4 linked regions of the Elephas maximus indicus genome follow. The protein of the gene in region 3 purifies or fractionates together with the protein of the main gene of each other region. This does not show direct contact. Links are inferred from orthologs where the notes say so. Each region holds a gene or a part of one and is shown on either strand. Other genes may lie near its edges.

Region 1 (7,030 bases), on a different chromosome or scaffold from region 3:
TGTGCGGGGAGCCTTCGAGTGTTCTTCCTGCTCCACAACACTGGGCTACACCCCACGGCCGCAGCCGCTAAATACCGTTCCTGTCCCCTGTCCCCTGCTCACGTGACGGCGACCTCCGCCGGGAGGCGCCCACGGCATGCTGGGACTAGTAGTCTCCCGGTCTCTCCCCTCCCTTCTCTTTCCCCCTCTCTTCCCCTCCACACCCTAAACCCCAGCAGCCAGCGGGGCGCTGGAACTAAAGACTTGGTAAATGCGCACAACAGAACCGCAGACATCCCAAGATTCTTATGCTGATTGGTACCTGACCAGAAGCCAGGCATCTCTACAAGACGTCTGACGCCCCTGACCCCTTAAGGATCTGAAATTCATAGGCTGGAAAAACCCACAGAACCATGACAGTGAGAGGCGGTACCAAATGATAACGACAAGCACCAGTCAGACTTGGCTTAGAATCCGGCCTCTGCCATTACTAGGTGTGTCTTTTCAAGTTGCTTAACCTAAGCCTCAGTCTGCTCGTGCATCAAGTGGGGCCAATACTACCTGACTAATACGGTTGCTGTGAGTAAATGAGATGACGTAGAGAGCGATAGCTGCTAAATGATATTAGTGAATGATCAATAAAAAGGAGGTATTATTTTGACCTATTAATTTTATAAATGTGAAAACTGGAGGAAGGGAAGTGATTTGCCCAAGAACATATGATTGGTTAGGGGCAAAGTAAATTAAGTCTAAAATTCAGGTTTTCCAGTTTCTGAACATCAGTGCAAGACAAAACAGAAGATATCTACTCACTTCTCCAAGTAAATAGCCTCCTTTGCCATGACACTTATGACCAACACACTATTTTTGATTTTTGTCTGACTCCTCCCTTAGAGGAAACCCTGGTGGCGTAGTGGTTAAGTGCTAAGGCTGTAACCAAAAGGTCGGCAGTTCAAATCCACCAGGCGCTTCTTGGAAACTCTAGGGGGCAGTTCTACTCTGTCCTATAGGGTCACTATGAGTCGGAATCGACTCGACAGCAGTGGGTTTGTTTTTTTTGTTTTGGTTTCCTCCCTTAGAATATAAACTTCAAGAAGTCAGAAAGGGATTTTTGTTAGTCTTTTGGTCTATTTTGTTTACTGCTGTATCCACAGGACCTAGAAAGGCAGGGACTGGCCAGTACATAGCAGAAGTGCAAATATTCACTGAATAACCCCTATAGTATTTGATTTTTAGTGCCTTCACCTCTCTGATATCTTCTTTTAGCAGAAGTCACAGGATTGGGAACACCCTTAGATTCTATTCATTGACTAATTTCTAACTGAACAAAGAATATGGAGAATATGTATTATATTCCATTCACCTCATTAAGTTTTCTTAATTTCAGCATAACATTTCCAGCAGATGTTTTCACTTATCTTAAGAGTCCTTAAAATGTTTTTCTAACACTTGTGAGAATGGGGGGGGTGGAGCCAGTTACTATATCCTTAAAATTTACTTCCTCTTATTTAATATTTTATTCACCTTTCCTTATTAAAATTAACATTATCCTTTTCTAAGATAGAACCCCAAAGGTATTTCCCTGTACGACCAGAAACGTTGCGAATATTATAGATGTTTACTTGGTAAATAACTGGATTCCTACTTTTTGTTAGGTGCCATCAAGTTGATTTTAGCTCTTAGCGACCCCGTGTGACAGAATTGTTCCATAATGCTTTCTAGGCTGTAATCTTTACAGGAACAGATCCCCAGGTGTTTCTCCTGCTAAGTAGCTGGGCGGGTTCAAAACCGCCAAGCTTTAAGTTAGCCACTAAGTGCTTAACCACTGCACCACCAGGGCTCCTTAGAATTTGTTTACCCTAAACAAAAAACTCATGTACAAAAACAATTTTATCTGTAAAGTTACTAGGTGTGGGAGGCAGTTACAGAAAAGCTGGGATTATGTATCCTTATTACGTAAACAGAGGGAAAATCCTAAGTGAATGTGACTCCACTTTTAAGATTCTCATGATTCATTTATTCTGAAAGCTGTTTTTAAGCATTTAAAAGCATTTTAAGTTACAAATTAATATATGTGATTATTCAATAATATATAAAAGCTCTCATCATTCTCTCTTGTAATATCTCCTCCAAACCTAAGTTTTATAAACCTGTATCCACATTTCTATATAGTCACCTTCCTGGTAAATGTTTCAAAGAGGCTCTTAATGTTTTAATAATCATAATATGAACTTTGTGTATTAATAAAGTTTTATATCTTTTAATAATACCTATTAACAAACATTTACTGTTATGTGTTAATAATGAGTAATATACTAACCATGCTATAGAGAAGGCATTACTTAAATAAAATGTAACCAATGTGGCTGAATAGTACTATACAAATTGTTAAATGGGAACCTAATTTGCAGTGTAAATTTTCACCAAAGATACAATACGTATTTTTTAATTAAAAGAACCATAAATAAAAGCCAATTGTTACCAAGTATTATTACTTTTCTGCATTGTGTCCTGCAAATTTTCCACATGTACCACCTAACCCAGGCTAACAAGGGACAATACCTGTTTCAATTTCCCTTAAAAGATTAAAAAAGGAGGAGGAAAACTCCCTCTCTTTACTTTTCCTCCAGCTTATAATAAACGAAGCTAAAATAAGCTAAGCTCTTAACGGGCTAAGAGACTCTCTAAAGCATGTAATTCCTTGTATCTGTAACCAAATTTAGACTATTAGTGAAAGCATAATACACCTAAAAAAAAAAAGACTTAATTAAATTGAAATTTGGCCCAATTTTGAGCAAATGAGTATAATAAACATTCTAAGGTGATTAAGTAAAATACTTGAAAGAAACCTGTTAGCACCTTCAATTTTTTCATAATTATTCATTGTAATTGGTATCCAAATTACGAATTTTTTTCATCTGCTTACTACAATCAACCATAAAGCCCTCCAAGCAGACAAGAGTGTATATAATACAGCTTTCTTTCAATAATTATTCAGACTTAATCGATTTTCCCTCAGCTTACTAAATTTGGTTAATTTGCTGATTATCCAAATCTCTAAGCGTGGTGGGGAAACAAATGGCTTTTATCGTGTTTTTTTTACTCAGTAAACACAGGAACTCTAAACCAAATGCACTATATCAAGCCACGCCCAGGATCAAAATGAAAATAATGGGTCACAACTTAAAATACAGCACTGCCTTTAATAAAAAGTATTTATTTCTCACTGTGCATAACGCAGTACTACGAACCTGCTGTTGGAATAGAGCTTATATTCGAACGTATGCTATGCACGCATCTCTAAAACGGAGATCCACCGAGTTCGACAGTAGATACGACTTTGTACACTCTTAACGGGTGACTTAAAACTGGGTGACAGCCTTCATAAGAAACTTGAAATTTTAAGTTTCGCCGTGAAAAGAAGACATGTGCCAAAGACGTAAGCGTCACTCTTGCCAGGGACACTTGAAAGGGTATGGCCACGGTAGCGGTCGATCAAAAGACATCCCAGGAAAACTGCGCAACAGCCTGAAGTCGAGGACTGAAACAAGTCTTCACCCTCGTCCCACTGGCTTTTCCCAGACGCTCGGTCCAGGGGGCCATGACAGGCGTCTCCTGCGCGCAGCCAACACCTGCCGGCAGCGCCGGGCTTAGGACAGGCAATTTGCGCAGCCACTTGTCCCTTTTTGTTGCCCCTTCCCCTCCCTCCCTCAAGGCCGAGGACAGCAACGTCCTCCTCCTCCTTCTCCTCCTCTTTGGTGCCTCCAGCCAGGAGGCGGGAGTGACCCACAGCAGCTGACCCAAACCAGGCACTGCCTCTCCCACAGCCCACAGGAGCCACCATGGGCCCAGAGGCGGGTTTGCAGCACTGCAGCGACGACGCAGGTGGCGGCCCCGGCGACTCTCAGCTACCTCCCTGACCACCGCAACCACTGCCCAACACCCCGAGAAGCCATCGCCACCACCGGCAGGAGGATCTAAGCGCCCCAAAGGCACCTTCGCAATCGGCTGAAGATACGTCAACAACTATGGCGGGCGACGGGCGGTGGGTGGAGCCGGTGCGGGAAGGATGGGGGGTGTACGTCACGCCCAGGGCCCCCCTTAGGGAGGGAAGGCGCCGGCTTGCTCCTCAAAATGGCAGCGGCAGTGACGCGTCGGCGTACGGAAGTTCTTTTCCATCGCGCCACGGCCGGCGGGAAGTGAGGTTCTCAGAGGAACCGCCAGAAGTGTACGGCGACTTCGAGCCCCGGGTGCCCAAAGGAAGGCCTCCGCTAGGAAGACGAACCTCGCCAGAAAAGTTCCGGCCTGACTCCGCGAAAGAGGAACTAAAAGAAAGCTCCTACTACCTTCGGTCTCGGCAGCGGAGGCAGCCGCAACCCCAGGAAGCCACGGAAATGAAGGCACGAAGGGCTATCCGCTTACAGCAACAGCTCTCGGAGCAGTCTCTGCCACAGCCGTCTCCGGTTATGACCAGGAGAGGGTTACGGAATTCTTATTCCTCCGAAGGTGAGAACGATGGAGGTAACGTTTTAGCCGCTAGCCGGGGAGCGGGAGAACTCGCTGTGCGCGCTCGCGGCGGCTGTGCGCCTCCGCGGGGCTCGTCCTGGCGAGGAGACTCGTAGCTCCTCGGGCCCGGCTAGATGTGCGCCCCCGCCCAGGGTCCGCCCCAATCCGCGGGCGGAAGGGGAAGCGAGCTGGGGGAGAGGGGCGCTGGCAAGAGGGCGGGAAACGAGGTCACAGGGGACTACTGAGGCAGAACCGAGGAGCTGCTGTCCACCCCTGGGCATCACCTCAGGGGAGTCAGGGTTGCCCCTGTCTGCACGTCTCCACAAGGGGGTGGCGAGTTAGGCGGCAGTCGGGACCCCGAATCATTCCGGTGGTCTCAGTTTTCATTTCCATCCCCTTTGCCCTGAGTATGTTTCTACCAAAGTCACTACTATTTTTTTCTTTAACTCTCAAAGGCCACAAGTCCCCAGCCCAGGATCATGGTTGTAATCAAACTTTACAGTCTTTTTCCATCCTCATCCTGGTGAGGGGGGAGAGGGGAAATTTTGAGAGCGTGGGTGTTGCTAGGGATAACGGAGTTGGTGAATTAACTTGAGACCCCACCCAAATCCATACACCTAGATGAGGTCAGTTATCCTGAACTGAAACTCTCCAATGCCTGATAAACTTGTGCGCAAGTATCCTGGTGTCTGCCAAAATTTGCCACCTTAAGAGGCCCTCCGTCTAGCCTCAGTGGTAGCAAGAGTGTTAATTAGGAAGTTTTCTTCTAAATGGGCCAACAGGATGCTGGCAGTGTGAGTATATTGCCGTCGAGTCAATTCTGACTCATAGCGACCGTATAGGACAGAGTAGAAATGTCCCCATAGAGTTTCCAAGGAGCAGCTGGTGGAATTGAACTGCCTACCTTTTGCTTAGCACCCGAGGTCCTTCTAAATGGGCCAAAAGGATGCTGGCAGTGTGTGTAGTTTAGGTAAGTCACAGGTGAATCAACTCCTTAACCCATCCTCTCCCATCCTGACTGTGGGGATTTAACAGAGTCACAGGTGAAGTTTCATCTTAGCCCTTTGTAAGGCACCCGTGAAACAAATCGCGGCGGTGGGGGGCGGGGGAGTGAGGTTTCAGTCACAATGGGATGACATAGTGTAGACCATTGTTGGCTATGAAGAGGCAGTGATTTTCAGCATAGAGCTGTTATAGGCTATAGACACGTGAAGTGTTTACACATTTGAAGGCTTGTCGATTTTGGAAGGTTCGTGTTAAAGATATGTAAGTTAGTAGAGCCTGTATGTATCTATATATATGGAAACCCTGGTAGCATAATGGTTAAGAGCTATGGGTGCTAACCAAAAGGTCGGCAGTTTGAATTCACCAGGCGCTCCTTGGAAAGCCTACGGGCCATTCTCCTCTGTCCTTGCAGGTCACTAAGAGCCAGAATTGACTCGATGCAATGGGTTCGGTTTTTATATGTGTGTGTATATATATATCTGTTTTAAGATTATAAACTTACTTAAGACAAAGATCCTAACACATGTATTTGAAGGATCATGTTATACTTCAGTCTTTATGCTAATTCTGTATCTCCTTCAGTACCCTGATGGCACAGTGGGTAAGCCTTTGGCTGCTAACTAAAAGGTCAGCAGTTGGAATCCGCAGTTGCTCCTTGAAACCCTATGGGGCAGTTCTCCTGTGTCCCATGGGGTTGCTGTGAGTTGAAATGTCTTGAAGGTACAGTACAGTACTTAGGAGAATGCTTTGTGCATGGTAAACAATAAATACATGTTACAGTGTACTGACTCGTAACCCAAGTGCTTAGGCTAAATTTTTTTTCCCTTTTTTTGACTAGTAAGGAATTTACTTCAGTAAATCTATAAGAATCTAAACATTTTTCACTCTTCCGCTTTCTGCCGTGTAATTTTTGATGATTCTAGCCTATGGTTTTAAATTTTCTGAATATATTTTTGTTATAAAGCGCCAGTGGTGAATAGTTTATTTTTATATTCTGATGAATTCATTTTTTTTTTTAATATTGTGATTTTGGAGAAAGTTTACATAGCAAATTAGGCTCTCATTTAACAATTTCTATACATATTTATTCGGAGCCCTGGCAGCATAGTGGTTAAGAGCTCAGCTGCTAACCAAAAGGCCGGCAGTTCAGATTCACCTTGGAAACCCTACAGAGCAGCTCTGCCCAGTCCTTTAGGGTTGCTATGAGTTGGAATCGACTCGATGGCATCGGGTTTGGTTTTTATACATATTATTCAGCGACATTGGTTATACTTTTCACAATGTATTGGCATTCTTATTATTTCCATTGTGATTGTTCTGTTTCCATTAATCTAGCATCCTTGTCCCCCTTACCTTCTCATCTTTGGTCTAGGGTAAATGTTGACCGTTAGGTCTCATTTAGATTGTTTAGAGGAGCACAGCACTTACGGGTTATATTATTTATCTTATGAGCCACTCTGTCTTTTGGCTGGTAAGTGTTCTCTGGGAGTGGTTTGAAGGGTATCCCAGGGCGATAGTCTCAGGAGTTCCTCTAGTCTCT
Region 2 (6,937 bases), on a different chromosome or scaffold from region 3:
CCCACTAGGGCCTCCTTGCTATGAGGACCCTGCCACCCACTTTTACACCCGCCCAAACCCACGGCCTCCTTCCTCGGCTGGGGTACTTTCTTCCTCTGCTCAAACTGTGCTGGCAGGCATTGGAGGGCCCGTACTGCTGCTCCCGCGCGGCGGTGTCCCCCTCCCGCACCTGGCCTGGGGCCACCTCCTCCAGGTAGGGAGAGGGAAACCAGGCCATCTGTTTGTCCTTGTTCTCCACCAGGCACCAGCCTGTGCGCCAGTGCGGCGGGGTTTCAGATCCCGAGGCCCGCTGGGATCAGGGGCAGAGGGCAGCCCAGACTCCTCCCCAGCCCTACCCGAGGGTTGTCGCAGTAGCACATCCAGGGCCTCCCGGGCCTGCACATGGAAGGGTTGGCCCCGTGTGTCCTGGGTGCAGTAGGCAGTGCAGTCTCTGGTCCTCCAGGCTGCGGATGTCAAGCCTGCCCACAGGGTCCGGCAGAGGCTCCTTCCGGGCGGTCGGAATCACCAGGCTGAGGAGGATTGCAGGTGATAGGTGGGAATGGACCCACCATCCCCACCTCTCACAAATCTGCCCAATCTCCCAGTCTTTGCGTGACCCCTCCTACCCATACACCCTGTGCTTCCCCATCCTCCAAATGCCTCTGTGGCTGGGAGTTGGGGTAGGTCAGGCACCTGCCGGGTGGCAGCGTGGGCTACAGGTCCAGGATTTGCGGCGCGAAGAAGCTGTTGAGCGCCAGGCGCCGGGACACGCTTTCTACCGCCATCAGCAGCATCTGGACATAAGCCTCTAGGAGCCGGAGGCAAGCCAGCCCGCGGCCCGTGCGTCCCCCGCGCGCCAACAGCGGCACGTGTGGGAGCAAGACAGGAGTTGAATGTGGGACCCCGTCTCGGGGTCCCTCACCCATGTCCCAACCCCCCCGGCCTGACCAGGAAGCGCGGGGAGAATGAGGTTGGATCTGCGCAGCAGGCCCGCCTCCATCTGGAAGGCCTCTTGAAGGGTCTTCCGCGGCAAAAAGCCGGCGGATAGGTCTCCGAGAGCTCAGGGGTCCTCCGCGACGGTGGGGCCGAGTCGGGACTGTAGGGGTTGGAAGCTGCGGGGCACAGGAGAGCCCGTAGGCGGGGGTCACTCGGGAGTCATGCATTGGAGGCAGTTCGGGGACTCGGGGGTCGCCCCAGGGTCACTCACGTGGAGCTTTCTGAACTCTTCGCGACGCCTGAGCACGAAAGTGTCACCGCCTGTCCTACCAGCGCACGGAGAACTTCTGAGGGAAAAAAAGTTGGGGATCCTCGCAGGGGCGGGGCCAGGGACTACACCTTCCCCTTTGGGGCTGCCAGTGACCCCATGGAGTACCTGGAGTCTCCTGGTCTGCACCAGGGCGTAGACGCGCACACACACCACGTATCGGGGGCCTGCCATGGCTGAGTGGCTGAGGCTCAGTGGTCCCTGCCTCCTCCCTGCCGGCTGGGGGCTCCCAGGAACAGGCAGGGCTGGCCAAAATTCCCTGACAAGGCCCGAAGTTGGCCAGGCTTGTCACTTGGGGAGGTGTTCAGCTGTGGGTCCCTCGCAGGCTCCCCCCACTGCCCCCTAACTCTAAGATATGGGGGGCAGGAGCACAGGGCTGGGAGGCCCAAGGCAGAGGCCCTGGAGGTATGCACGACTTTGTGTCCTGAGGAAGGGGCGGTGGAGGGACTGGAACTGTGGGTGAGGCCCTTCTGTCCCAGTCTGGCAGTGGAAGGAGAGGGAAGGGCTGGCAGTCCCCACATCAAAGTGCTGCCTGGCCCAAGCTTTCTCTCCTCTAGTGCAGGGCTGGGGCCAGGAGGGCTTCCTGTAGGTGGACCCCTAGGCTCTGTCTTTGTACGTGCCTGTGGAGCTGTCTGCAGTTGCATCGGGAATATCCCTACCCAGTGCTAGGGGCTTTAGAGTCCTTTGTCTCTTTTAATGCTAAGAGAACAGTTCTCTTAATGCCCCCAAGCCACAGATGAGGAAATTCATGTTAAACTGATAATTAATGTGAGTTTTTCTGTACATGTGCACATGGGGGGTGGACCCCCACAGGCTCACCCTAAGTTTACCACATGGTAAAGAGACTTGGGCCAGAAGGAAAAGGGGGAGGTGGCAGGCAGCCAGGCTTGTTCAAGGAGCAGCCTCTAAATTCATAGTTTGTCACAATTTACTGCAAAGGAAAATCCCACCCTTAGCCTTTGAGGGCAGAAGTGAGCATTCCCCCACCAGCCTGGGCAGTGGGGCGGGGAGGCTGTGGAAGCCCTGGGCAGAGGCTTGCCTGGGTGCCCACCACTTATAGGGGAAGTGCCCCACCTTCTTATAGAGGAGACTTCCGGAGCCCCATCCAACCCACAGGAAGAGCAGTGATTCTTCCTGGAACTGGGGACCCAGCTTTCTCAGGAGTCTCTGTTCCCTAGACATTTCTCCAGGAATTTGCCCTGGCCTCATCATTTTCTTTTTTCATCAAAAGGCCTTTGTGTGTATGTGTGTCTGTCTGGCCAGAGGACCCCCCCCCCCCGGAGCCCTCACACCTGCCCTGGTCTCCACCCAGGTGATGAGCACCTGCTGACACAGGTCTGAATCAAAGCTTGATTTCAACTCAGCTATCACCCTCCATCCATCCTCAGGAGACCATGCTGAGGGTCCAGAGCCTGCTTCTCTGGAAGAGAGAAGAGAGAAGCCAGGGAAAGGTGAGGGCTCACTCGTAGCCAGCAATCTAGGGGAATGCTATGGCCCCTCCTGATCACAATGCCCAACCCCATCAACCCTGGATCCTCCCCACTCCCTTCCTCTCCACAACCACTACCCACCACAGCTCCTCACTGCCAATGCTGTCCCATAAAACCCTCTCCCCATATGACCTTTGCAAACAGAAAACAGATTATGTCCACTGGTTCTTCCCAGAACCATCCAGCACCTTCCCAACACCCTTAAATTCCCAGTCCCACAGAGGCCAAGGTCCTGTGTGACAGCCCCTGCCCACTCCTGGACCTCCCTTCTGGTCACCATCACCAGCATCCTGCTACCTCGGGCCCTGGGCCTTGACTGCCCTCCTCAGGCATTATTCATCACCCTTCAGGTCTCTACTGAAGGGTCACCTCCTCAGTGGCTTCCTGAATTTACCATGCCCTGTACTGACTCGACAGCACTGGGTTTGGTACATGCCCCTACCCACTGTTTGTAAGTGAATATTTATTTGTGTGCTTCTGTGTTGGTTGTTTCTGTCTTGACCATTGGACTATGAGCTGAGGCCTTCAAGGGTGGAGCCTTGTTCCTGTTCTGTCCAGCACCTGGAACAGTCCTTGGAACAAAGAAGACCGGCACCAATATGTGCAGAATGAATGAATGACCATAAGGAAGCTGAAGTAGGCTTGAGTCCGTTCCTCGGGAGGGTTTAACCCCTTATCCAAGCTGTAGGGTCCGAGGAGGCACTGCCCTCTGGAGCAGATGGGTGCGCGCAGCAGCCGAGACGCGCACTACCTTTTTGGCCGTTAGGGCCCCGCCCCGCGTTGCCAAGCGCCCGTTGCCAGGTGCCGGGGTATTGCGCCGGTGGGCGCACCACCAGTCTCAGGAAAGGCACAGAGCCCGGCTATGGGCACCCGGGACAGTCCGAGTGCAGCGATGGGGTCTTCGCGGGCCTCCACCTGGACTTCGCCTGCGCCTCAGCCCGAGCCCAGCGCGCCGCGCCGCAGCTTCCACACCACACTGGTCTTTTACTGGAGGAAGCGGGAGCGCCGCTCCGCGCAACGGAAGCCGGGCCCGGGACGCGGACGCAGGCCGAGGGTCGCGGGCAGGGTGCTGGCCTCCCGCCCCGCCGCCGCCGCAGGGGCCCGGACCCCCGTCCGGGAGGCGGCCTCCAGCCCCGCCCCCAGCCCCAGCCCCAGCCCCAGCCCCAGCCCAAACCCAGCCGCCACGCCCGCAGCGCGCGTCCCAGGCTCATGCGGCGGCGCGCTGACCTGGAGGCCAACCTGGAGGCCGCTCTGGAGGCCGAGCTGGCCCGGCAGCCCTTGCGCGAGCAAGATGGCGGCGCCCGGTGAGCGGGGGCGGTTCGGCTGCGGGGGACTTTTCTCTTTCCTGCCCGGCGGCGCGCGCTCCGAGGTGGTGGACGACCTGGCGACCGACGCGCGGGGCCGGGGCCGGGGCGCGGGGCGCAGAGATGCCGCCGCCCCCGCCCCGACGCCAGCTCTAGCGCAGATCCCCGAGCCGCAGGAGGACGCCTCCCGGAGGCGGCCCTGCCGGGCCTGCGTGGATTTCAAGACTTGGATGCGGACGCAGCGAAAGGTGCACGTGCCCAGGGGCGCCACCTCCCGGCCGAGGCCTGTGAGCCCCGTCCGACCCTCCAGCCCCCACCCGCACACCCCCCTCGTCCCCTGCCTCCTGAGCCCCCTCACCTTATTCTCAGGTGCCCCTGGGAGACGCCCCAATAGGCCGAGGCCGAGCGGTCCGATAGGCCTCATTCCTGACTTTTGCCTATCCGCTATGCCTAACTTTGACCCCCTCAAGGTAGGCCTGGCCTTGTCTGTCTCAGCCTCTCATGGGCTGAATCGGCTGCTGAACTGCTGTCTGGAGAGAGTGGGCCTCCGAGTGGGGCAGGAAAAGGTGAGGTTTGCGCTCTTTTGATTGAGGAGATTGAACTGACCCTTGGTCTACTTTTTTCTGCAGCAGGAGAGCAAGTTTAGGGAGGATTGCCCTCAAGATCGGGAGGAACTGGGCCGCCACAGCTGGGCTGTCCTCCACACCCTGGCTGCCTACTACCCCGACCTGCCCACTCCGGAACAGCAGCAAGACATGGCCCAGTTCATACACTTATTTTCCAAGTTTTACCCGTGCGAGGAGTGTGCCGAAGACATAAGGAAGAGGTGAGTTGTGTGTGCACAGGTGAGAGCATTGAACCGAGAGGCCTGAGTTGGAGGTGATGTCATAGGGGAGAACCTAGAAATACGTGGAGGAGCAGCAGAGGGTGGCGAAGGAGCTGGGAGCTCAGCAGAGTGGGGATTAGGTTCTTGGGCCATCTCTTTTCCCCCTCAGAGGCCAAACTGCCTGGGTCTGCTGGAAGATACTTCCTGTTGTACCACAAGGCTCTCAGGAGAGCCTTCTCAATGCAGTCTCTCACTTAACCACAATGACGACTGCACTCTGCCTGACTTCTGGAGCAGGGCTGCTGGCTTTCAGACCTTGGGAACCCACTGCTTTTGCTCCTAGGCTTTGGTGTGTGGCCCACCCAGGTGTCCTCTCCCACACCTCTGGCAGGGCCTTCTCAGAGCTTCCACGTGTGGGGTGGGACAGCCCTGGCTGTCTGAAGCCTGCGCAACAGAGCAAAGTCTCTTGCTGAGGTGAGGCAGCAGGGCCTCGGGTGCCAAGAACTGCCTGGTTTTCAATTATACCTGCTGTGTCTGGCTCATGAGGCCAGGGAGGCTGGGGTGAGGCTTCCAGGTTCTTAGGAGATTGTAATGTTGCCTGCTATGCTCTTTAATGTCTTGCCTGGGGCTTGCATTAGGTTTGCTAAGGGCCATGGGTGGGGTTTTTGGTAGCGGTGTTTTTTCTAGTTTTATTGTGGTTAAATAGGTATAACATGAAATTTGTCGTTTTAATTATTTTGTAAGTGTACAATTTGCCATGTTCTATGACCATCACAGCTGTCCATTTCCAAGTTTTCATCCCCCAAACGAAAGTCTGCACCCTTTCAGCAGTGATTTCCTATTTTCCTCCGTCCAGCATCTAACCCAAAAAACCAAACCTATCGCTGTCCAGTCAATTCTGACTCATATCAACCCTATAGGACAGTAGAACTGACCTATAGGGTTTCCACGGAGTGTTTGCTGGACCCAAACTGCTGACGTTTTAGATAGCAGATGTAGCTCTTAACCACTACGCCACCAGTAACTTTTAATCTGCTTTCTGTTTCTGAATGCGTTTGTTCTAGATGGTTCGTATAAGTGGTATCATACACTATTGGACCCTGGGCAAGTTTTTGAGCAGACTGGGAGCCCACCAAGGCCCAGGGCTCTGCAGGGTCAGCCTTCTCCTGGGAATTTGCTGTCCCTTCCTTAGGGGTTTCTTCTTGGTGTAGTTCTCAGCAGCCTTCTTCCCTCAGGAGCAGACTAGGTGCTGGCTGGGGGCAGGGGTAGGGCCAGCTGCCCCCTCCATCATCTCTGTGCTCTGCTCTTAGGATATGCCAGAACCAGCCGGACACGCGCACTCGGGCACACTTCACCCAGTGGCTGTGCCACCTGCACAACGAGGTGAACCACAAGCTGGGCAAGCCAGACTTCGACTGCTCACAGGTGGATGAGCGCTGGCGCGATGGCTGGAAGGACGGCTCCTGTGACTAGTGGGCGGGTGTAGGAGCCAGCTGGCCACTGCAGTGGGTGGAGCGTTCATTAAAGTGCATCAGAGCCAGAGCCTGTCCCATCTCAGTTGGGTGGCCCCGGGACGCTACCCACGGGGCCTGCCCTCTCAGGTCGGGAGGTGCCCGCGGCAGACACCCCCATGGCCTTCCCTCAGCTGAGGGCCCGCAGGGGTGGGAGCTGCAGGTGAGTGAGGCAGGAGTGGCCTGGGCTGCCCCTGTGCCAGATGGGATGTGGCCTTCTGCCCAGAAATGGAAGGGGCAGCCAGGAGACAGGCCTGGCTGGGCTTCCACGCGTCCACCCCACAAGGCCAGCCTGCTGCCTCGTAACCGTGTAGCCAGTGACTCTACAATGTTCTGGCCAAAGCATTTATGTCCTGTGTGCTTCAGGGAGGTGGCCTGGGATAGCTCTCCACCCTGCTCAGCTTCCTGCAGGGAGAGCTCAGCAGGATATTTCTGGAGACCTACACACAGCATTGTCCGTGGCTGGCCAGGATTGCCAGCAGGGGCCGGCTGCCTCTGAGGTTGAGACCAAAATAAAATGTTGTGGAACTGACTGAGGACCGGGCTGCCTGTGTTGTTTGCAG
Region 3 (6,832 bases):
TCCTGCACTGAGTTGGGTGGGGGGGAGGTGTCAATGGAGAGATTCAAGACAGAATTTCTGCTTCAACAAAGCGGATACCAAGTTCTTCTGCTTGTCCCTGAATGCCACCACCACAGGCTTGTCAGGGACTAGGTGTCCATTGTGTCCAGAAATGGTCTTGACTTTCCATGCCATTTGGAAACATTAGTGGAGTTACTCACCATAACAAAGATGGTAAACATCCCTGTCTACCACATGCCCGTCATGGACAATCCCAAGGCGGTGGGTGCCATCACTACTCCTATTTCACAGATGAGAGAACCAAGGGCTGGGGGTTAAGTCACCTGCCTAGATCACATAGTCAATAAAAGATGGACTGATTTAGGATTCAAATTCAGGCAGACTGGAGGCCACTCTCCTACTGCTCTGCTCCAGACTGCATTCTGCATTTCTTCGGCTGTAATGTGAGTTGAACCCTGGGAGCCAGCCGTGGGCAGTGACGGAAAAGAAGAGAGGGCAGCCCCAGCCTTGGCCTCCCCTCAGCTACCTTGAGAAGCCAGTATCAAGAGAAGGGGCTCAAAGACGGCCTTGAAGGGAGGGAAAAGAAGCACAGGGGGTCCCCCCAGGCTAGGGTTATGGGTAGGAGGTGACACAACACACACAGTCCGCATTCTGAACTGATATTCCCAGTAAACGTGGAGGCATATTTATCCCCAACGACACATACCCAGCTCTCAGGGCTCAGAGACAACGTGGTAGGAACCGAGATCCACATCCAGGCCTTGGAATAGGACAGAACTGGATTTAAACCTCAGTTCTGCAAATCATGGGCTCTGTGACCCTTGGCTGTTGCTCCACTCTTCTAATTCTGTTTATTCCCTGTCTTAGTCATCTAGTGCTGCTATAACAGAAATACCACAAGTGGATGGCTTTAACAAACATAAATTTATTTTCTCACAATCTAAGAGGCTAGAAGTCCAAATTCAGGGCATCAGCTCCGGTGGAAGGTTTCTCTCTCTATCGGCTCTGGAGGAAGGTCTTTCTCCTCAATCTTTCCCTTGACTAGGAGCTACTCTGCACAGGAACCCCCAGCCTAAAGGACCTGCTCTGCTCCCGGCCACACCCCAGGGAAACTCCCTTTACATTGGATCAGGAATGTGACCTGGTAAGGGTGTTACAATCCCACCCTAATCCTCTTTAACATAAAATTACAATCATAAAATGGAGGACAACCACAGAATACTGGGAATCATGGCCTAGCCAAGTTAATATACATATTTTAGGGGAAACATAATTCAATCCATGACATTCCCTTATAAAATAAGATGGTATAGTACCTCCCTCACAGGACAGTTGTTATATGGCTATGAATTCTGTCACTTTTCTTCTCTGATCCACCCTTCCCTCTTCAGATCTTTCTTCTTCACCAGCCTAGTAAACCAAAAACCAAACCCACTGCTGTCGAGTTGATTCCGACTCCAGCCTGGTAGCTCCTGTAAATGTGCACCCAGCTACTGGATGAATAAACCAAGGCTTGGCTGCAAAGGATAGCTAAGCAAGTCTGTTACCTGACAAAGTGTCTGGTCCCAACATATGTGAGACGGTCTCTGCCCAAACCAGGACAGGGAGATAGACACAGTCCAGCAACTATGAGGACAGAATTTCTTTTTTCCATATATTAAGTACCTACTATGTGCTTTTTTTTTTTTTTTTATGTGCTAGGTGGTACAGTGATTAAGAACTGGGTTGCTAGCCAAAATCCACCAGCCATTACTTGGAAACCGTGCAGGGCAGTTCTACTCTGTCCTATAAGGGTCGCTATGAATCAGAATCAATTTAATGGCAAAAGGTTTATGTGCCAGGCGGAGGCATGGTAGCACAGTAGTTAAGAGCTCGGCTGCTAACCAAAAAGGTCAGCAGTTCAAATCCACCAGCCGCTCCTTGGAAACCCTATGGGGCAGTTCTACTCTGTCCTGTAGGGTCGCTATGGGTCGGAATTGACTCGACGGCAACAGGTTTGGTTTTTTTGGTTTATGAGTCAGGCACTGTGCTGAGCAGTCTGGCTTAAACTTCACAGCAAGCTATAGGAGAGAAACCATTACTGATTCCATTTTACGGACGAGGAAACATAAACCAGAGAGAGTAAGGCCACACAGCTACTGAGCAGAAGAATCTGGATCTGCCCTCAGGGCTGCCTGACTCCAAAGGCACCTCTTCAGCACCTTCCCATGACAAAACCATTCCCTGGAGCAAGTGCCTCTGCCTGCTGGGAAGTTCCACATTGTAAAATATGGTGAGGGGAGGGGCAGCCAAGAATCCACCTACTGGGAGTGGGATGGCCTCCTGGCTGCACCCTCCTCACAGCAGACCCTGGGCCTCTGGGTCTGAAAGCCCACGGACCACCTCAGCTCAAGGCTTCTATCCCCCACACTCCCAGGGCAACACTAACCTGAAGCAGAGCGTGCTAGGGTTGTGGGTGACAAACCCTGGTCTCTCAGGGGGCGTGGGAAGCAGAGAATGCTCAGGGACAGAGAAAGGGTATGGAAAGCGGGTGTAACAAGCCAGGGGACGGTGGCTGGAACACTCCATCAAAACACGAGGGAGGGTGTGTGTGGGGATGGCAGGATGCCCAGGCTGGCTACAGAAGCACTTTCACACAGAGGAGTGGTGAGTCACCAGCTTCTCCCAATCCAGCACCCTGCAGGAGGTGCTGCTCCTCCCTTTGTCGAATGAACGTTGGGCGTAAATAGAAAAGCTCCTGAGAAAGGCTGGCTGCAAAGAGAAGAGGGCAGCCTTTGGAAGGGAACCACCTTCAGCCAAGGCCTCTTTAATCAAATCCCCTCTAGAAGCAGGCGGATCCGGCAGTTGGGAAATGCGCCTTCTCACCATAATCCTAACTCTTGCGCCCCAGCTCAACCCGAGCCCCTTTGCTGCATCACGGCCTCGATGTGCATACATCCCTAGAACGGGGACCTCACTTACCGTCGGGCCAGCCCTGTCCGTTGGTGGAGAGCTCCACTTGGGGCCGGAACGGCCACCCCGCCCTCCCCACAGACAGGCCTCTCTCTGAGGTCCCCTCCAGCTCTCATATTCTGCAAGTTTGAGAACCCCAATTTGCTCACATGGAGTCTCCACGAGTCGTGATCACCTCGATGCTAACTAACAACAAGTGCCCAGGAGGGAACTGGGAATGAAATGTAGGGCCTCAGGTAGGCGCCGCGCTCAACAAGATGCCACTGCCAGAAGCGACACCTCCCGGGTTTCCCTCCCCACAAACGCGCGACCCGAGGATGAGCTAGGCTAAAGAATATGGACAAGCGGAGGATGGAGAGATTCAAGATAGATCAACAGGCTGACGAGCTGCCAGCGGCATGAACACAACCGTGCAGAGGTAGACAGACAGCGGTCAGACGAACAAAAGGAACCGGAGGCCCCTGGGTGACGGCAAGTCTGGGTGTGGCCCGGGTGAGCAGGAGACACTCACGTTCGCGGCCATCGTGGCACCTGGCTCGTCGCCGCCTCCTCGCTCTGCTCAGCTAGAGCTGACAACCGGAATCCAGTGGCCTCTTGCCGGCCGGGAGCTGCAAATGCCGGCGTGGGGTCCAGGACAAGGCGGGACTTGCTACAGAGTTACCACCCCAGGCGCCCCCATTCTTCTGAGCACGCGCGCCGCAAAGCCTCCTGGAAAATGCAGTCCGTGGAAAGCCCGGAGTCACAGGCTTCCGCCACAAAGTTGCAACATGCGCGGAACCGCACTCGTGCGCATGCGCATCGCAGGACTTTCTGGGAAATGTAGTTTCTGCTGCCTGGAAAGGGGCCATGGGACACGCAGCCTCCTGGGAAATGTAGTTCTCAATTGAGGGGCCGGGCTGAAGCTAGGAGGGCGCGGAAGCAGGCGCGCGGCGGGCAGGCCTGGAGGGGGCGGGCCCGCGCGGGCCTCGGAGCCGCCCGCCCTACCTGAGAGGAGGTCACGGCGTGGATCCGCCACCGCCGCTCGGGCTGCGAAGTCTGAGTGCCCGGCTGCCGCCATGTCCTACTGCCGGCAAGAAGGTAGGGAGGACGAGCAGGCTGCCGTGGAGACCGGCCTACGAGGGCCTGCAGGGGACACGGCACCCGGACAGCCCCCGCAGGCCCGGGCGCCCCGCGACCCCACGGCCGGCCCGGCAACCCGAGGCGCAGTCCTGGGCGCCGTCCTCGGGACCCTAGGGGGCGGTCTGGGCGGCAGAGTCTTCACCCCATTCTGCAGATGAGAAAACCCAGGCTCTGGGAGGAACGGGGCTGGTCCAAGGTCATGGAGAGTCTTGAACCCTGGCCTCAGAGGAACCAGCACGTGCGAGATTCATAAACTAGGCCCGGAGGGTGCACGAGAAATGCTGAGCACGTTTCCTGGCCCGTAATTGGGAATTTATTAGTATTAATTATTACAGTCACTCTCACCACAAACCACGTGTTTCCATACTGCATGCGCCTTGTTCCTGTCCCGAAAAGTTGCCCCTCGGGTCAGATGCTGTGCAGGAGTGGTAGAAGTACCCCTGGCGGGAACACTTGTTAGCCCCTACTAACCCTGGTGGTGTAGTGGTTAAGAGCTAGGCTGGTAACCAGAAGGTCGGCAGGCCGAGTCCACCAGGCGCTCCTTGGAAACCCTATGGGGCAGTTCTCTTCTATTCTGTCTTGTAGGGTCCCTATGAGTCAGAATCGACTCGACAACAGCGGGTTTGGTTTTGGTTACTACGTCAGGCACTGTTCAAGGAGCTGTTACATAGTTTATTTCACTGGCCTTTCAGCGATCTAAGTCAGCTCCTGTTTTTATCCCCATTTTACCGAAGAGTAAATTAAGGCACAGAGGGGTTTAAGTGACTTGGCCTAAATCACATGGCCAGTATGTGGTGGAGGTGGGTATGAGCCCTGGCATCTGAACTGCACTATCCAATCTGGAGCCTGGGTTCCCAGGAGCCTTAGGCCAGGAAGGCTTCCCCTCCCCCGACAAGGTGGGTCACCACTCACGCCTTTCTGTTTCCCTGTTGTTACCACTAGGCCAGAGCTTGGAAGGTTAGATGGTACCAGTGCCTCCTCATATGCTACCACTAACTGATCTGCCATCTAATTCCTCCCGGCCCCACTTTCCAGTGGTGTAAAATGAGAAGTTGAGCTTCATTCATTCTGCAAATAATCATGAAACACCTCTGTGCAGGGCCGGTGGACACTTAAGAATATAAAATTCCAGAGAGTCGGAACTCACCCAGAGATTTTTTGGTCAATAGTCCTGTCCCCTCAGTTTAACTCAGGAAACCTGAAGCCCAGAAAAGGGGCTCACCTGTCCAAGGGCATGCAGCCAGTTAGGGGCAGAGCTCCTCGTAGAATGATAGGCCTTTTCCCCAATACCCCAGCCTGCTTCTGGAACTTTTCCTCCTTCCCTGGATCATAAAGCCATAATACTCACTGATGTCTCTAAAAACCCATTGCCATCGACTCTGACTCACAATGACCTTATAAGACAGAATAGAACTGCTCTCTAGAGTTTCCAAGGCTGTAATCTTTGTGGGAGAAGATTGCCACATTTTTGTCCTGCAGAGTATCTGCTATGTTCAAATCACTGACCTTTCAGTTAGTAGCTGAGCATTTAACCACTGCGCCACCAGGGCTCCTTCTAATGTCTCTAATGAGCACTGTTTCCTGCTGATTAATAATTAAGTCTGCCATAAACGAAAGTCCTCTGCCCTAACCAGTTTATGTTAGACAGTAAGTCCTTTGTCCTATTTTTAACTCCCTTTCTCTTAGTCTCAAGTTTACTTCATTTAACAAATCATTTTTGACCCTCTTGGGTACAGTGAGGCTGTGCAGATAAATAACACCTCTTCTGTTCTTGAGGAGTTTACAGCAGTCACAGGTTCTCTGGGAAGGAGGGGCAGTGTCCCTCTGCCACCAAAGCGTGAAGCCCTGTCTTTTCCTGGTTCAGAGGTCTCTCTCTTCCTTAGTTTGGAGATGAGAATTGAAAGTACTCACTTGCAGGCCTGTTTTAGTTGTTACTACAGGTTAAAGGCCTTAGCTTGGTATTCTAGGTGTTTTGCAGTGTGAACTCAGCCTTGCTTTGTGGCCTTGGGCCACCCGTACTTCTCCGTCAGCTCCACACTGCTCCTTTCTTTGGTTTCTTCTCTTCCTAATACTGAGCCTGCCCTCTCCTGTTAAGTCATCAAATATTGAGCATCTGTATGTGCCAGCCATTGGACATATATTAGTGACAAAGGTGACACAATCTGTGCCTTCCTGGCATCTGGTGGAAGAGAGGGGCATTAAAGCACCAACAGTTGTCATTGTTGTTAGGTGCCCTTGAGTTGATTCTGACTCATAGCGACCCTCTGTACAACAGAACGAAACGCTGCCCCAGTCCTGCGCCATCCTCACGATCCTTGTTATGCTTGAGCCCATTGTTGCAGCCACTGTGTCAGTCCATCTTGTTCAGGGTCTTCTCTTTTTTGCTGACCCTCTACTTTACCAAGCATGATGTCCTTCTCCAGGGACTGATCCCTCCTGATAACATTGTCCAAAGTATATGAGATGTAGTCTCACCATCCGTGCCTCTAAGGAGCATCCTGGTTTTACTTATTCCAAGACAGATTTGTTCATTCTTTTGGCAGTCCAAGGTATATTCAATACTCTTCGGGAACACCACCATTCAAGGGTGTCAGTTCTTCGGTCTTATTCATTGTCCAGCTTTTGTATGCATACGAGGCAGTTGAAAACACCACAGCTTGGGTCAGGCGCACCTGAGCCTTCAATGTGACATCTTTGCTTTTCAACACTTTAAAAACATCTTTTGCAGCTGATTTGCCCAGTGCAGTGCATCTTTGGATTT
Region 4 (6,961 bases), on a different chromosome or scaffold from region 3:
GGGTCAGGAACCCAGTCCTCAGGTTCACCAGAGTCATCCTCACTGTCCTGGCCAGTCTCCAGGCTCGCAGGGTCAGTCTTGGACAGCTCGACAGCCAAGTCCCCAGTCCCATCAGAGTCCCCAGTCAGACCGGCCACAATCTGCCGCACTGTGTCCTCCCGTGTCCTGCCAGGAAACAAGCAATCTACACCATCACCACAAATGCACAAGGCATTTGAGTGGGGCTGTTCTGGCTGGCATCTGGCCCCGGGGTGACTGAACCACAGGCCAGTCTGCACATCACTGATGGCCAGGGGCATACAAGGGCCTGGCGAACTTGTTCTGCAAGTCATTTGGAGCAGCAGGACTGAGACGCATGGAGGACAGGCTCTGGCTGGCGGGCCAGCTCACCTCAGGTAGCGGCGGACGGGCTCACAGGCCACCTCCAAGATGACCATGGAAGAATCCAGCACACGCAGTGCCTTGATAGCAGAGATGTACAGCGTGATGATGTCACATGTGTTCACGCCTGCAGCCAGAGGGATCAAATGGTTACAGGGGCTGTGGGACAGTGGGGTCAGGCCAAACTGCCCGCCCTTCCCTGCCACTGGCCACACCCTGGACAGCAACCCCCATGTGTTCACATGGTACAGCCCGGTCAGATGGTCTTTAGCACACCACCTTGAACTTGTGCACAGAAGAGCCTGGCAACCTGATCAGGGAACCCCCTCCTTCGAACCCCCAGCTGCCTTCTTCAAAGCTTTATAAGGATGACTGTTTCCCCATTAAGCAGTCTCTCCTGAGGGCATCACCCCAAACCAAACTCAATTTCAAAAAATGGGGCGGGGGCCACCCTGCCCCCTAAAGGACTTCAGAAAACAGCTTCGTTAGTCCCCGAAGGCCCGGGGGCGCCCGTGGCTGGGATGTGCCATCTGTGGCGAGACAGTGCAGCACCTGGGTGCAGGAGCCGGGTCTCCAGTGCCGCCTTGAGCGACTCGAGCAGCTGCTGCCTCTGGTTGGTCCTCTCCAGGCAGTACTTGAGGTCCTCAATGGCTGGCCGTGAGTCTGGGAAGTCTGTGGGGAGAGGCCCCTTCACACACAGGATACGCAGACACCGAGCATGGCTGAGCAGCCTCCCTGGGACTCTGCAGCGACGCTCACACGTGTGTGCCCATGCCACAACCCCGACCGGCCCCAGGAAGACAAGGAGACCCGGGACGGATGGACATGGGCCTGGAGGACGGGCAGTGAAGGCCAGGAGGGCAGGCAGACCTCGGATGATGCTGAAAAGCTCCTGGATGCGCATGCCGGCATAGACGCGGTAGAAGAACCTCTGCACATGGCAGCGCCAGCGGCGCAGCGTGTGGCCAGCCTCCGGGGATGCGGGCCTGGCAGGGCCATCCTGAAGGAACGCCTTGCCAAGCCAGCCGACCACCCTCTCGATCCACTGTGGGGCAGGCACGGCTGTGAGGTGGAGGCTGGCAGCGCACGGGCGCCCCAGGCCCTGACTCCAGCCCCCTCTATGCACGTCAGCCCCCCTGTTCATCTCCACTGACACTGATGTCACACGTGAGTGAGACAGTTGCACACACACTCACACGCTGCATGCACCGCGTGGGTACACCCCTCCAGGACACAGATGTTACCAGTGCCCTGCCCTTCACAAACAAAGCAGTGCGGGACAAAGTCACTCCTGTGTGTGTGTGTACGTGTGATCCTGCTGAGAGGCGTCCCAGACGTGGGTGGGGTTAACACCACAGAGACAGCCCAAGCTGCCCTGGGCTGCTGCGCCTTGAGTCCCCGGCTCACTCCAGTATCTGGGAATCTGCACTTCGTCCCAGCTGGGCTGCCAGGGCTCATGACCACTCTTGCCCACTGCTTGGAGGACCCCTATTGTACCTCCTTCAACCATGCTAACCGTCATTTTTGGAGAGCGACCCTCAGAAATGGCGGAGTGAGAACAGGTGAAAAGCAGGGAGCCACGACGGTTGGTCCCAGCTCTCCGCCAGCTCTGGGAGAGCCCCAAGCCTGTCTGTGGATGGCACAGTACCATGAGGCCCACCCTGGGATACGACCCCACCTTGCCAGGCTGTCTCCCCAGTCTCCCCCATTGCCCTGGCTGCTCTTCTCTTCCTGCCCCTCCTCCTCTGCCCCATGGGGGTGCGCAGGCCATGCTGGGATGCAGGCTGGCTGCAAGGGGTCAGTCCCCGGGGGGCGCAGCTAAAAGGAGATCAGTCTGTCCCTCTCAGGTGGGCCTGGCCACACCGCTGCTTGGCCCTGGCACTGCCTCGAACCGTGTGATTCCGCTAAGACTTCACCCAGCACGTCGTGGATGCAACATGATCAGTGCAGCCCCCGGAATGGCCTCAACTACCTTCGAGGTCCCAGCCCACTCCGTCTCTGCACTTTGGCACACTTCCAAAGGGGACGGAGCAAAGGCGGCGATACCTTGTGGAACTCCCGTAGGAAGGAGCGTTCGTACTCGCCCCGGCAGCGGTCCTCCATCCTCTCCCGGGTCACCTGGTGCAGCGTGGTGGTCACAGCCTCGGCACTGACCCGTTCCAGCAAACTGAGTCTGTGTCTGAGAACAGACGAGTGTGTGCAGTGTCAGCTGTGCCAGGGCTCTGTGGAAAAGCTGCTGGGAGAACAGAGCACTGGCGAGGTGCCATTTGGCCTGCCCAGCTGGACTGCCCAGACTGGGGTGATGGCCATTCCCGTAGGAAGTGGCGGCAGGGGAGCTACCAGAGGCCCAAGCCCCATCTCCCTGGCCTGGCTCGGAAACAGCAACTGAATCACTGCTACCCGGGCCACGTAAACATAGATACCACCGTCTGCACCTTTCAGCACGAACGCTGGTCTAGAAAAATAAAGCTACTCACGAGGAAACAAGAAAGAGCGTTCCATACAACCTTCAACTGGGATGAGCCTAGCAGAAGCCCTTCAGGGCCTCTAGGGCCCTTGGCAGCAGCGGGACCACTCCCTTGATCCAAATCTAACTAAGAGACCCCTTCCAAACAACGGCATCGCAACCACTTTGCTCAACATGACAGAAATCATAACCGCGCTGGAGGGAGCAGACAGCAGAGCCTGGCTGCAGCCAACAAGAACTCCTTCCCAGAGAATGGGGACACAAATCTGCCTGCCTGACACGCTCAGCACAGAAGAAATGGTGAGCCCCCTGTTTGTTACCCACTGGCACAGCAACCACAATCACAGGCTACGTACACTCCCGTTAGCCTACAGGCAGTACAGCAGAATTCTGGGGAGCCAGTAAGTTTGGAATGGGGACAGAAATCTGCTGCACGCACAAGTCACATAGGGTCTCAGTGTGGGCAAAGTGTCAACTCCTGGGCTGTGCACAAAAACTAAAGAGATACAACTGGTCCAAGACCAAAGGCTCAAAACTCACCATCCAAGGGTGCCAGGGCCCCCTCCCTCTGGGATGCCCCTGGCCAGCTGACCAGCTCTCTGCAGCCAGACCCAGAGGAACAATTGGGAAATCAGGAGGCCCAGGGGCGTGGCCACACGCATAGTACTCACAGGACCTGGCTGAGCTGGTGGAACTGCTCCAGGGCCTGGCGACACCAACACTGCTGCTTGTCACTGCCACACCCAGCACAGAGTGGGCTCTGCAGGAGCCGGTAGTAACGGCGGCGAGCATATCGGCTATCCAACTCCCCCTCCAGTTCTGGGTCGGTGCCTCCTTCCCCCTTCCTCTTACTCTGCATATAGACTCTCAAGAAGCGCCCGTAGAGACGTTGGATCATCTCCTGGAAAGTTCTGGGAGTGGAAAAAAACAGAACACCCCGCAACATGGTGTGGACCTTCTCCCGCAGCCCCTGTGCGCCAGTGCCCATCAGCAATCCCAGGCGAGACCATTTCTCCAGGAGCTCTAAGCTACGCAGGTAGGGATCCAGGCGATTCTCCAACAGGCCAAAAGCGTCAAGGAGCAGCAGAAGGCACTGGGGCTCGTCCGCGGAGTTCTCGCGCTGGGAGATGGCATTCCAGAACTCGGGGGAGATGTTAGCCTGCAGGTCGTTCTGCAGCACCTCCACGAACCACTCCTCCAGGACTGAGTGCAGGCCGTGGCCCCGCAGAACCTCCACAGCCGCCCGGAGCTCCTCCTCCTTTGGCTGGACCGCACCGCTGGTCCGAGAGGACGCCTACAGTGCAGACAACCGTGAGGAGAGGGGAACGCAGAGCTGCGAGTGGACGTGGCGGGGGAGGGGAGCGGCAGGCGGGAAAGGCGGGCAGTGCAGCGGAGGGGAGGCTGCGCGAGCCCCGCCGCTCCTCGGCCGCAGCGCGCCGATGTGGCGCCGACGCTGGGAAGGGCTGGCAAGGGAGCCGAAAGATGCGGGACTGTGGAGGAGGGCGGGAGGGCAGAGACGGGCGATGGACAGAGGCGGAGGCCCTAAAGCTTCGCGGGGACCGCGCGCGAGCCCGCCGTTCTCTTCCGGGCCTCACCAGCCCCAGCGCAGCCGGCGGCACCAGCCCGGTGCTCACGGTGTTCCAGGCCACCAACAGCTCCTGTCCGGGCGCGGGGTCGCAGTCCCCCTTCGCCCCCGCCGCCTCTGCAGCCATCTGGGCCCACCGGCTCCCGGGTCCGCCCGGATCAGCGCGGCTCCTTGACGCACGGGCCGGGCGCGGCGCAGGGCGATGACGCAAAAGAGGCGCGCGGCGATGACGTTGCAGGTCGGCGCGCTCTCGGTGCGCACTGCGCAGGCGCAGGCGAGTGCTCGGCGGCGGCGGTTGGAGTGACCGGGATCCCCGCGGCGGCGGCGGAGGGGCGAGTGTCCGGGACGATGACTCAGCAGGGAGCGGCGCTGCAGAACTACAACAACGAGCTGGTCAAGTGTGAGCACGTCCCGCGCCGTGTAGCCCGGGCGGTCGTAGCCCGCGGAGGGGCCTGGGCCAGCGTTGGCACAGCCGCCCGGGCGCAGCGGGGCGCTGGAGGCGGCGGCCCAGCGGCGGGGCCCCAGGCAGTAGGCGCGCGGCCGCCAAGCAGTTGCGTGGCCGTGGGCAAGTGTCGCGCCGAGTCCGTGCGTGGCCTCCTGGCCCCAGGGTGGGCCTAGCGGTACATTAGGACCCGCCCAGCTCGGTCACTGTGCGTGGAAGGCGCGTGGGAGAGCGCCTGGTGCGCACCGAGTGCGCACTGAGTGCCGCGTGTTTGTAGTGAGCACTACCTCCCAGGCACAGCGCTGTCGCCCACGTCCACCGCCTTATTGTATCCAGAGGCCCCCGAGAGGCAGGACTCTGGCCCTCCTTGGAGGGAAGGCGGCCTAGCCAGGACCTTGCTCTCCTTCCTGCCGCCCCAGGCATCGAGGAGTTGTCCCAGAAGCGCGAGGAGCTGTGCCGCCAGATCCAGCAGGAAGAGGACGAGAAGCAGCGGCTGCAGAACGAGGTGAGGCAGCTGACGGAGAAGCTGGCCCGGGTCAATGAGAACCTGGCTCGAAAGATCGCCTCTCGAAACGAGTTTGACCGGACCATCGCGGAGACGGAAGCTGCCTACCTCAAGGTGGGACTCGAGGCAGCTGGGGCCACAGGCCAGGCCGATCCCTTGTGTGGGCAAGCGTTGAGTGCCTAGGGGGTTCAGGACTGGGGGCTTTCCTGAGTAGAGGCTTCCCTTCCCCTCCCCGGACCCTGGCTCAGCACAGGGGCATTCAGTTGTGGGAGCAAGGGGTCCCAGCGAGCAGTCTGCATCTTCCCCACATCTCGGCTGGGCCCACTGAGGAAAGGAGAATGCTGTCTGTGGAACATGGTGTGTCCCAGCCCATGTTCTCCTACCACGGTTGTTCCTGAGGTTCACTCTGCTCGGTGTGTGATGGACGGGGGGCCGGCAGAGAACAAAGCACTGGCCAGACCTGGGGAGGGAAGAGGCCCCTGCAGGCCCTGCCTGTCCCCGGGTACCCCCCAGGCGGGAGCATCAATGACCAGCCTGTGTTTTCTTTGGTCTCAGATCCTGGAGAGCTCCCAGACTCTGCTTAGTGTCCTGAAGAGAGAAGCTGGGAACCTGACCAAGGCCACGGCTTCGGAGCAGAAGGCCAGTGGGGGCAAGGACAGTTGACGAGGCCATGGGTGGGCCAGGCTACTTGGCCCCCAGGAAACCTGTTAATAAAGCGTCTTTGTTCTGTATGGCAGCAGCCACCTTCTTTTCCTGTCTTTGGTATCAAGGCAGCTGCAGCCTTTGTTAGCTCTGGATGAGAAAAGTAGCCTACCAGGCAGGGATCTGGCTCCGTGGTGCTCCCAGCAGGCAGCAATTGGGGAGGGCACTCCAAAACCTCCACGCCTCCCTGTGCTGCTGGTTCTAGTCTCAACCCCCAGGACTTCTGCCTCCCTTGTCCCTCCTTGGCCAGCAGGGGCCCAGGCAAGTGAGGTAGTGGTTGGGCCCTCTTCTGCCTCAGAACTGAGACCTCAGAGCTTGTTCCTAGTGCCCCGTGACTGTGTGAATAAAGGCTTTCTTTGTAAAGAATCGTGCTGGCTTGTGCCTGTGTCGAGTACATGGGGCTGCTTGCCACCCCCAGAGCTAGCCCACAAAGGTTCTGGCTGGGTATGGTGGCTCCTCCATGGGGCGGGGCAGGGAAAGGGGACTTGGAGTGGTTTTCCCTGTGACTGAGAGCCCCAGTCTCAGATGCAGAGGGTGCCACTGGGCATCTCCCATGACCCTCCTCCGCCTACCTGCAGATGTCAGCCCCAGACCTTTGCTTCACCTACGGCCACTTGCTCTATCCCTGTCTCACCCGACCCCCACTTACTTTCCCCCAAATCCAGGACACAGCCCATCCTTCTCTGAGGGCCTTCATCTGCTGGTCGTGCTCTCTGCCACACCATAGCCGGGCCCAAGGACAGTTGGAAATGGCTGAGTGTGCACGCCAGCCCCCTTCTGGACGCTGGTTCCTCTGAACACAGGCCTTATAGCTTCACACCCTTTCTGTCCACTTCTCTTCTTCCCTGCGCTGCTGGGCCCCATCCTTCATCCCCAGAC

The links.
Region 1: the proteins of CHCHD4 (region 3) and TOR1AIP1 purify together in Homo sapiens (co-immunoprecipitation; 3 studies listed by BioGRID and IntAct, with this or other methods). This does not show direct contact. The link is inferred for Elephas maximus indicus from reciprocal best matches to the Homo sapiens genes CHCHD4 and TOR1AIP1.
Region 2: the proteins of CHCHD4 (region 3) and GFER purify together in Homo sapiens (co-immunoprecipitation; 3 studies listed by BioGRID and IntAct, with this or other methods). This does not show direct contact. The link is inferred for Elephas maximus indicus from reciprocal best matches to the Homo sapiens genes CHCHD4 and GFER.
Region 4: the proteins of CHCHD4 (region 3) and SSNA1 purify together in Homo sapiens (co-immunoprecipitation; 3 studies listed by BioGRID and IntAct, with this or other methods). This does not show direct contact. The link is inferred for Elephas maximus indicus from reciprocal best matches to the Homo sapiens genes CHCHD4 and SSNA1.

The regions. Positions count from the first base shown.
Region 1 is NC_064842.1:42,820,159-42,827,188, forward strand, and holds the start of TOR1AIP1 (torsin-1A-interacting protein 1), read left to right. Parts: upstream 1-4,006; 5' UTR 4,007-4,007; coding exon 4,008-4,485; intron 4,486-7,030. UniProt on the Homo sapiens protein: Required for nuclear membrane integrity. Induces TOR1A and TOR1B ATPase activity and is required for their location on the nuclear membrane. Binds to A- and B-type lamins. Possible role in membrane attachment and assembly of the nuclear lamina.
Region 2 is NC_064830.1:59,085,850-59,092,786, forward strand, and holds the start of GFER (FAD-linked sulfhydryl oxidase ALR), read left to right. Parts: upstream 1-3,923; 5' UTR 3,924-4,024; coding exon 4,025-4,285; intron 4,286-4,666; coding exon 4,667-4,863; intron 4,864-6,173; coding exon 6,174-6,336; 3' UTR 6,337-6,937.
Region 3 is NC_064838.1:39,929,491-39,936,322, forward strand, and holds the start of CHCHD4 (mitochondrial intermembrane space import and assembly protein 40), read left to right. Parts: upstream 1-3,827; 5' UTR 3,828-4,007; coding exon 4,008-4,029; intron 4,030-6,832. Other genes in the region: TMEM43 (transmembrane protein 43), read right to left, coding at 3,464-3,475.
Region 4 is NC_064827.1:1,041,136-1,048,096, reverse strand, and holds SSNA1 (microtubule nucleation factor SSNA1), read left to right. Parts: upstream 1-4,749; 5' UTR 4,750-4,781; coding exon 4,782-4,833; intron 4,834-5,294; coding exon 5,295-5,494; intron 5,495-5,935; coding exon 5,936-6,043; 3' UTR 6,044-6,448; downstream 6,449-6,961. Other genes in the region: anaphase-promoting complex subunit 2, read right to left, coding at 1-165, 391-508, 934-1,053, 1,252-1,426, 2,428-2,560, 3,520-4,142, 4,444-4,560. UniProt on the Homo sapiens protein: Microtubule-binding protein which stabilizes dynamic microtubules by slowing growth and shrinkage at both plus and minus ends and serves as a sensor of microtubule damage, protecting microtubules from the microtubule-severing enzyme SPAST.